2 linked regions of the Lepisosteus oculatus genome follow. The protein of the gene in region 1 interacts with the protein of each later gene in a biochemical or structural test. Links are inferred from orthologs where the notes say so. Each region holds a gene or a part of one and is shown in the gene's direction. Other genes may lie near its edges.

Evidence for each region. The genes of interacting proteins can lie anywhere in the genome.
Region 2: the proteins of dlat (region 1) and pdhb form a complex in vitro, tested with the Homo sapiens proteins (2 studies listed by BioGRID and IntAct, with this or other methods). The link is inferred for Lepisosteus oculatus from reciprocal best matches to the Homo sapiens genes DLAT and PDHB.

What each region holds. Positions count from the first base shown.
Region 1 is NC_090718.1:15,306,428-15,310,177, reverse strand, and holds the start of dlat (dihydrolipoyllysine-residue acetyltransferase component of pyruvate dehydrogenase complex, mitochondrial), read left to right. Parts: upstream 1-1,155; 5' UTR 1,156-1,349; coding exon 1,350-1,601; intron 1,602-2,773; coding exon 2,774-2,875; intron 2,876-3,044; coding exon 3,045-3,169; intron 3,170-3,605; coding exon 3,606-3,750.
Region 2 is NC_090699.1:56,371,875-56,375,624, reverse strand, and holds the start of pdhb (pyruvate dehydrogenase E1 component subunit beta, mitochondrial), read left to right. Parts: upstream 1-1,088; 5' UTR 1,089-1,148; coding exon 1,149-1,184; intron 1,185-1,278; coding exon 1,279-1,338; intron 1,339-2,443; coding exon 2,444-2,551; intron 2,552-2,657; coding exon 2,658-2,720; intron 2,721-2,807; coding exon 2,808-2,843; intron 2,844-3,184; coding exon 3,185-3,470; intron 3,471-3,750. UniProt on the Homo sapiens protein: The pyruvate dehydrogenase complex catalyzes the overall conversion of pyruvate to acetyl-CoA and CO(2), and thereby links the glycolytic pathway to the tricarboxylic cycle.

The sequences.
Region 1 (3,750 bases):
TGCATGTTTTTTAAAAACGGGCCTGTCTGGTCCCTCTGGCCTGAGTGCTCACAGCCTGCGTTGCACGGTTGGTTTCTGTAGAAACGCCCCCCTGCTGTCACTGTGTTTCAGAAGAGCCGCGAACGAGGCGTACACTGCACTGCTCGCTGGCACAAGTCTCGATTCGAACCTGCTGCTTCACACGCCCAGCAGAACCGCAGGCAGATACCCGGGACACTGACGTTTCACAAGACGCCTGCTTCGAGAATCAGTCCGATACATCATAAGAAACCAAGACACACTGTTATTGTTCAGCTTATTCTGCAAAAGTTCCTTAATTTTTACTTCACTGACGATATTTCATGGCAACTTCTAAAGGAAGTTAAAGGTGCTTCCCAGGCCACTTCACACAGTTTATACAGCGGTGTCTGCGCGCCCCCTGGAGGCGACAGGTGGAACTACTGCTGTTCTGTCACTCGTGGACATTCAGTTGAGCCGGATGCTCTGCAACAGAGTCTCGGTATTGCCTGCAGGGCCTCAGTGTTTCCGGTTTTACTTGCTTAAAATCAAAGCGTATGTTGGTTCTTTATAAACAGCATCTACCCTCTATTAAGGGAGAAGACAAATCCTCGACAACTCGAGAACATGTAAACTCGCAAAAGGTGCCCCCGACCGGAATCGAACCCAGGTCACGCCGCAATGTTCGAGAACATTTCTGTGTTGTTTCACCTTGTATCTAGATCAGCTACACGTGCGATATAAGCTGCCTTATCAATAGCTTATAGAATACATAGAAGATACTTTTTATTCATGCCATCCCGCAACGCAATTTTGAATTGACAGTTTTCAATCGATGTATGCCTGCTCACTGGTTTAGGTTCTTTTCAAAACCACAACGCAAGAAAAAGAGAACGCGGAGGGGATCTGTTCTACATCTTTAGTTACTGGTAGAGTTACTGAGCTCTACCAAGACCGATATTTTAAAACAACAATATCAGAGAAACACAGTAGGGTAGTTATTAGCTAATGTATTTCAACAGGACGCCGAGGTCAGAGTCGCAAAAGCTGAGTCCTATAAAAAGCGACACCACCCCCTCCCGCCTGTGCAGAGGCAGAGACGCGCTGCTTGACGACAGCGTGCTTTACGACCTCACACGACTCTGGTGGGCGGAGCCTAGGTGCTGCGGGTAAGCCGTAAAGCGAGATGTTTTGAGACGGGGAGGTCATTGGAAAGTGAGGGAGGGACTCTCGTTATAAACTGGGGGACACCGGAGCGGCATTAAGGCTGTCGGCTCTGAAGCATTAAAAGGCCAGCTCTTCTGCAGAGTGGGGAACTTCTTGGTGTTGCGCCGTTAAGCGAGCAGCTCGGAATGTTGCGTTGGGCGGTGCGGTTGCGGCAGTCGGTGCGGGTCCCCCGCTTCGGCCCCGGCTCGGCCCCCGGGATGAGCTCCCGGCCGGGGTCCTGCCGTCTCAGGAGGTACCACTCCGGAGGTTCGGCCCGGGTCCGGCCCGTGTGCTACGCCACCGCGGTTACCTGCGGCAGGGGCGGGTTTCTGCAGAGTTACCTGTCCGCACGGAGCTGCCAAGGCAAGCGGCTGTACAGCCTGCCGCCCCACCAGAAGGTAAGGCTTCTCCCAGACGGGCTTGACGGTTTCCTGCTCGCCCACCTGGGCGGGCGTGTGCATCTTTATAGAGGCTTCTGTATAGAGCTCCCAAACTGTGTGGTGCAGCGTTAGGAATGGACAAAATGGCGCTGTGTAGGCTGCCAAATAAGTCTAAACTTTCTTTCACGGAGACATAAATGTTCCACCTTTCCAGTGCTTGGCACGAATTGCGCCACGGTGCTAAGTCGGGGTAACTGCTTAGCAACGCTAACGGCAGGCTTTCCTGTCCCGAGTGTTTCTGCTCCGCGCTGCGCGGCCGGCTGTCCGTGTCACCTTGCAGCTTGAGGCCGCTGGGCTCCGGGCCGGGCCGTAGCTCCTCTCCGAGAGCTGACCTTTCTCACGGGGCATTCTCTCCAGTGTGAGCTTCTCTTTCCCTGCGGTTCAGGCTCATAAACGGCTTGTTTCAGGTGTCCCTTTAGGTCACCTGAGAGAGAGGCTCCGAGGTTTGCTTCTGATGATCAGCTGTTCAGTGCCCGTCTAGCTCATGTGGTTTTTCGGTTGCTAATATCTTCTGGGGACCTCATCCAGACTTGTCTTGGATGATGCCGGAGTATTCGCCTCAATGACTTGGCTTTGCAGTTGTTCCGGACTTCCAGTAACACATTTTTTCTGCTTTGATCCTCAAATAAGTGCACACCTGTCCTGTCCTGTCCTCCTTGACAGCTGGGATTGTTACAGAAGTCTGTTGATGTGAAGCCCCTTGCCTCTGTAAAGCAGCAGTACCTCAGTGGGGATTCGAACCCACAGCTTGCCCTGACTGCTCCTCCACACTGCTCCCCTGCCTTAGTCTTGGCATCCCTGTGTGTGGAGAGCAGGCGTCCTGGACCTGACTGTGCATGCCCCTGGCTCCTATTGGACAGGGCTGTGGGCGTGTCCTGCACTGTGCTCTGCCATTTCTTCTCTTTTCAGCATGGAATAAACCTTTAACTTGTTCCTTTGCATTAAAATAAAATGGCCCAATTTCCCAAAATAAATCGCTCAGCAGTATGGGACACAAATGAGCAGGGTGTTGAAGAGAGCAGCCTTGCGGTTTTCGATGCAGAGGTTGAATGCGCGCTTTAACAGTAAGTGCGCCTGTGCGAGGAGGAGGAGGAGGTCTCTGTGTCACGGTGTGGTTTGGCTCTGTGCAGGTGGTGCTGCCCGCACTCTCCCCCACAATGCAGAATGGCACCATCGCTCGCTGGGAGAAGAAAGAGGGGGACAAGATCAGCGAGGGGGACCTGATCGCCGAGGTGAGGGTGCAGGACTGCTCCTGTGTCCCGTGGCTGCACAGTGCTGGCCCACAATTAGAGCCGTCGGCCATGCTGTCTCGTCTGTATTTCTCCCTTCATCTCTCTCCTTTCTCACACCTGCCTCGCCCTGGTCTTGCGTGCTCTAACCCCACACTCGCTCTCTCGCCAGGTGGAGACGGACAAGGCCACGGTGGGCTTTGAGATTCTGGAGGAGTGTTACTTGGCGAAGATCCTGGTGGCAGAGGGAACCAGGGACGTGCCCATTGGTGCCGTCATCTGTATAACTGTGGAGAGGTAAACTTCCCGTTTCCGCTTTCCTGTCTTGGATCAGGCAGCGAAGAACTATCGTAGCCTTTAAAATAGCTGGGAAGAAAAGCCCGATGTCTAATCCTGCAGTTTTCAGGACTCTATCGCTTCTCAGACACTGCTGTTAATGGGCAGACAAGACAGGTTTGCAGAGAATTTGGAAACGGTCTGTAACTGATGTTGAGTGGCGTCTGCGAAGCACTGCAGGAGTTTGGGTTGCAAGCAGAGTTGCTGAGCTTTTAGGCGAGCGATTGTGGATTTTAGTTGAGTGCCCAGCGCTGGTCCTGCTGTTCTGAGTGTCCCCAGGAAGGGCTCTGGGCAGAAGCAGTAGCTGGTCTGTGGGGCTGCCTGCCTGCCTGCTTGCTGTGTTTGTGGGCAGCCTGTGTCTGACATCATGCTGTTGCTCGTTCTGCCCTCCCTGCAGCCCTGACCTCGTCCCTGCCTTCAAAGACTACACTCTGGACATGGCATCTGCACCCCCCAGCCCAGCAGCAACAGCGGCGGCGGCGGCCCCTCCCCCCCCTGCCGCGGCCCCCCCACAGCCGCCCGGCAGCTCCTACCCCCCGCAC
Region 2 (3,750 bases), on another chromosome or scaffold:
ACTTTTCTGGACACTCCACTCAAAGCGCATTACAGGTAATGGGGACTCCCCTCCACCACCACCCACCTGGATGATGCGACAGCAGTCATAGTGTGCCAGAACGCTCACCACACACCAGCTCTCAGTGGGGAGGAGAACAGAGTGATGAAGCCAATTCATAGATGGGGATTATTAGGAGGCCGTGATTGGTAAAGGCCAATGGCCAATTAGCTTTCCCAGGAGGTGTCCCATCCAGATACTTCAGTGGGTTGCCAGTTGTGCGTTGTAGGGTGATATAGCTGCTCGCCAAATGTGGTGCAATGTTTGTTTGTTGTTTCAGGATTAAGACAAGTTCACCCATTATTCAATACTATACCTATCTACTTTCAGTTCTGACAGTTCTGTCACCCACTTCCCACAAGGCAATCTATATATGCAGTAACCTGTGTTACTACATTAGGAGCATCACAGAGGCTGGCCTTGGAACTATTGTGTCTTGAAATTTAAGTGCTGTTGGTTACATGCAGTGTCATATACTTCACTGCAAAATAACAGCTGAAACCAAATACTGCATAAATTCTGTGGCCAATGAAACTGCAAGCAGGTGGATGAGTTAGGCAATCATTAATACAACTAAGCTGATTAAAGTCTGGGTTAATTAAGAGATAAGGTAAGATAAGACAAGACTTTATTGATCCCGTAGGGAAATTGATGATTACCTTTAAAATAAAAAAGACTGTACTATTTTTCAAACATTTGTGCAACATTTTATGGACACCTGTTTGGTAGCCTATTTGTATCATGCCACAAAATGTAATTGCACACTGTGCAAATACTTTGTATTTTAAACATAGATATAGAGTATTATTACAGATTAGAGTAATATTATGCATAGATCAATTGTTGTCTCAAGCAACGCAGGGAGAAGAAATGTATTGCTCCCGAAACCGAACCAGCCAGCCTTAATTAAAACAGTGGCTCACATTGTCCTTGGAATGAATTCAATCTTTTGCTGTCACAAATTGAGACTTCCGCTTCCTTTACCGAAAGAAGGGCAGTGATTGGTTCTCTGATTTTCCTCTCTTCCAATTGACGCCAGTATCGCGCTCTGTTATTGGTTTAAAAGAGGGATCCAGGGGGCGGTGTTGAAGTTAGAGGACAGGTTCAAGATGGCGTTGTTTAGGAGCTTGGTTCAGTCTGGCAGGGTAAGGGCTTCTCTAAGGTTTTGTTATGGCTATTTGGTTATTTGAGTCGTTGCTTCAACTTGCGGTGTGTTTTTGTTTTCTCTGCCCTCAATAGAGCGTAGTCTCTGTGACACTGAGGAGGGAGTTTCACAGGACATCGCCGGCTTCTTTGCAGGTACTTTTCTACTTTATCCAAAGCCGCAGGAATGACGGGAGAAGGTTAATTCACCCAGTATATTCTATGCTTCCCCACTTCTGGTTGAAGCTAAGCTAACCTACATTTTGTAATGCAGGTTTACGCCTTTTGACAGGTTTTCTTGTGCGCTGTCACGGATAACTTTGACATTGTGAGGGACCTCTGAATTTGTGGGTGGTACCTTTCCGTTTTGTCTTGTGAGTAGGCGATAGGCTGCTTCAGTACGAGGAATCTAGAAACGCTTAATGTAGTAGTACGTAAGCCGGTAATTGAGGAATTCGAATGCCAGACGAGTACCAACTATGTATTGTACCATAAATAGCGTCTTCAATATGCAGTGTTAGTTGTGTTTAACATGCTTAATTCAAGCCTTCTGATGCCACTCGCTGTTTTGAGCAGATGAGTGCTAGCTTAGTTGCTTGTAATTTTTTTTGGGGGGGTTCATTTGATTTTCCTAAAGCATTAAGTAGGGTAAGAGGCTCAACTCTTTTTGTTGGCCTAAGGTTTTGTGATTTCCCCAGTTAAGCAATGTCCAATTATAGAACTAGTTGACCTGGTTTTCATTTTACATCTGAGCTTTGCCTTTTCTAGATGTCAATCTTGAGGCAGCTAATATTGGCTTTACAAATCAATATCCCCCTTGGTTCTGGTGTCTTTTGCATTATCCACTGTGTGCAGTGCTAAACATCTAGCAAATGCCTAATGCTGTTAAACGAAACCAGAGGCTGCTCTGGGTACACATTTCAGTATAAAATCCCAATGTTCCAAAAGTTTTGGTATGGTGGCTATCTTGTGTGCATGTACTTTGAATGCACCTTCCCTGCAAGGCAGGATTGAGGTCCCTTCAAGAGGATACAGATGTGTGTATGAAGATCTGCCACCAACTGGGCCAAATGGTCTCCTTGTTTGTAGGCAGAAATACTTTGCTTACTTTCTGACAAGTGACTATCTTAATTTGGCAAACTTCTTTGCTTTTTAACTTGTAAGTAGAACCTTAACTTGGGTTTGAGGTCTTTTAAGTTAAATTGGTATCTGGGACTTTCCTGTTGCATCATCTCAACCTAAGTAACCCTTTACCTTCAAGGTGACTGTTCGTGATGCTTTGAACCAAGCAATGGATGAAGAGCTGGAGAGGGATGAACGTGTGTTTCTGCTTGGTGAGGAAGTAGCACAGTATGATGGCGCTTATAAGGTAGGCTAACATCCAGAACCAGTTTGTGGAAATACATTTTGTAAAGGACTTGTGCCACATGGGTGTTGGACTTAATTGCCATTGTTACTGATTTTTTTTTTTATAGGTTAGCAGAGGACTGTGGAAGAAATATGGGGACAAACGTATAATTGACACTCCCATTACTGAGGTGAGCATTCTCTTCTTAAATGCTGATGGGGATTTTCTTAACCAGTTGCTGTTCATTATGATAATGTGGCATGTTACTGTCTTCTAGATGGGTTTTGCTGGCATTGCAGTTGGTGCTGCTATGGTGAGTTGACTTCTTTTCGTTAGAAGTCCATATGACTTAAGTATTGCTGTCATGTCTCTCTCCAACCTCCCTCATGCCTTGCTAGCCATGAACCCCTTGTCAACTTCAATTTTCTAAATGAAGAACAAATGGTATCCTTAATGTTGCATTCTGTAAAACATTTGCATCCATCTGTACCTCTACAATCTGAATGTTGGCCAATGACCTGTGTCTGATTTACTATCACTAGCCACATGTCTGTGAACAGCTTTGGCTGTCTGACCTTGGTGTTGAGGAAATGTGACAACTGGTATAAAACTGTCAAATGTTGACATGATGCCAATTTATTGATTTCTTTCCAGGCTGGCTTGAGGCCTATTTGTGAGTTCATGACCTTCAACTTCTCAATGCAAGCCATTGATCAAGTTATAAACTCGGCTGCCAAAACCTACTACATGTCTTCTGGTATACAGCCTGTCTCCATTGTGTTCCGTGGACCTAATGGAGCTGCTGCTGGGGTGGCAGCCCAGCATTCCCAGTGTTTTGCAGCTTGGTATGGGCACTGCCCTGGTCTGAAGGTGCTCAGCCCTTGGAATGCTGAGGATGCCAAGGGTCTGCTGAAATCGGCTATTCGAGATGATAATCCAGGTACTGTAGCTCTAGGGCATTAATGTTTTGTCCTCTTTACTCCCTCATTGGGCAGACTTTTTTTTTTAGGACTTTAATACTATGTTAACATGCTGTAAAAAAGCAGTTTGGTTTATACTCTTCAGCATTTGATATTAAGGTGATTTTTTTTTAGACTTATTTCAAAATGAAACTGTTAAAGTTGGCTAAGGAAATCTAAATCTCATTATGATAATCGGGATTGGTGGTTTATAGACCCCACCCTGAACTACATACAATGAGGGAAGGAATAGTCAATTTT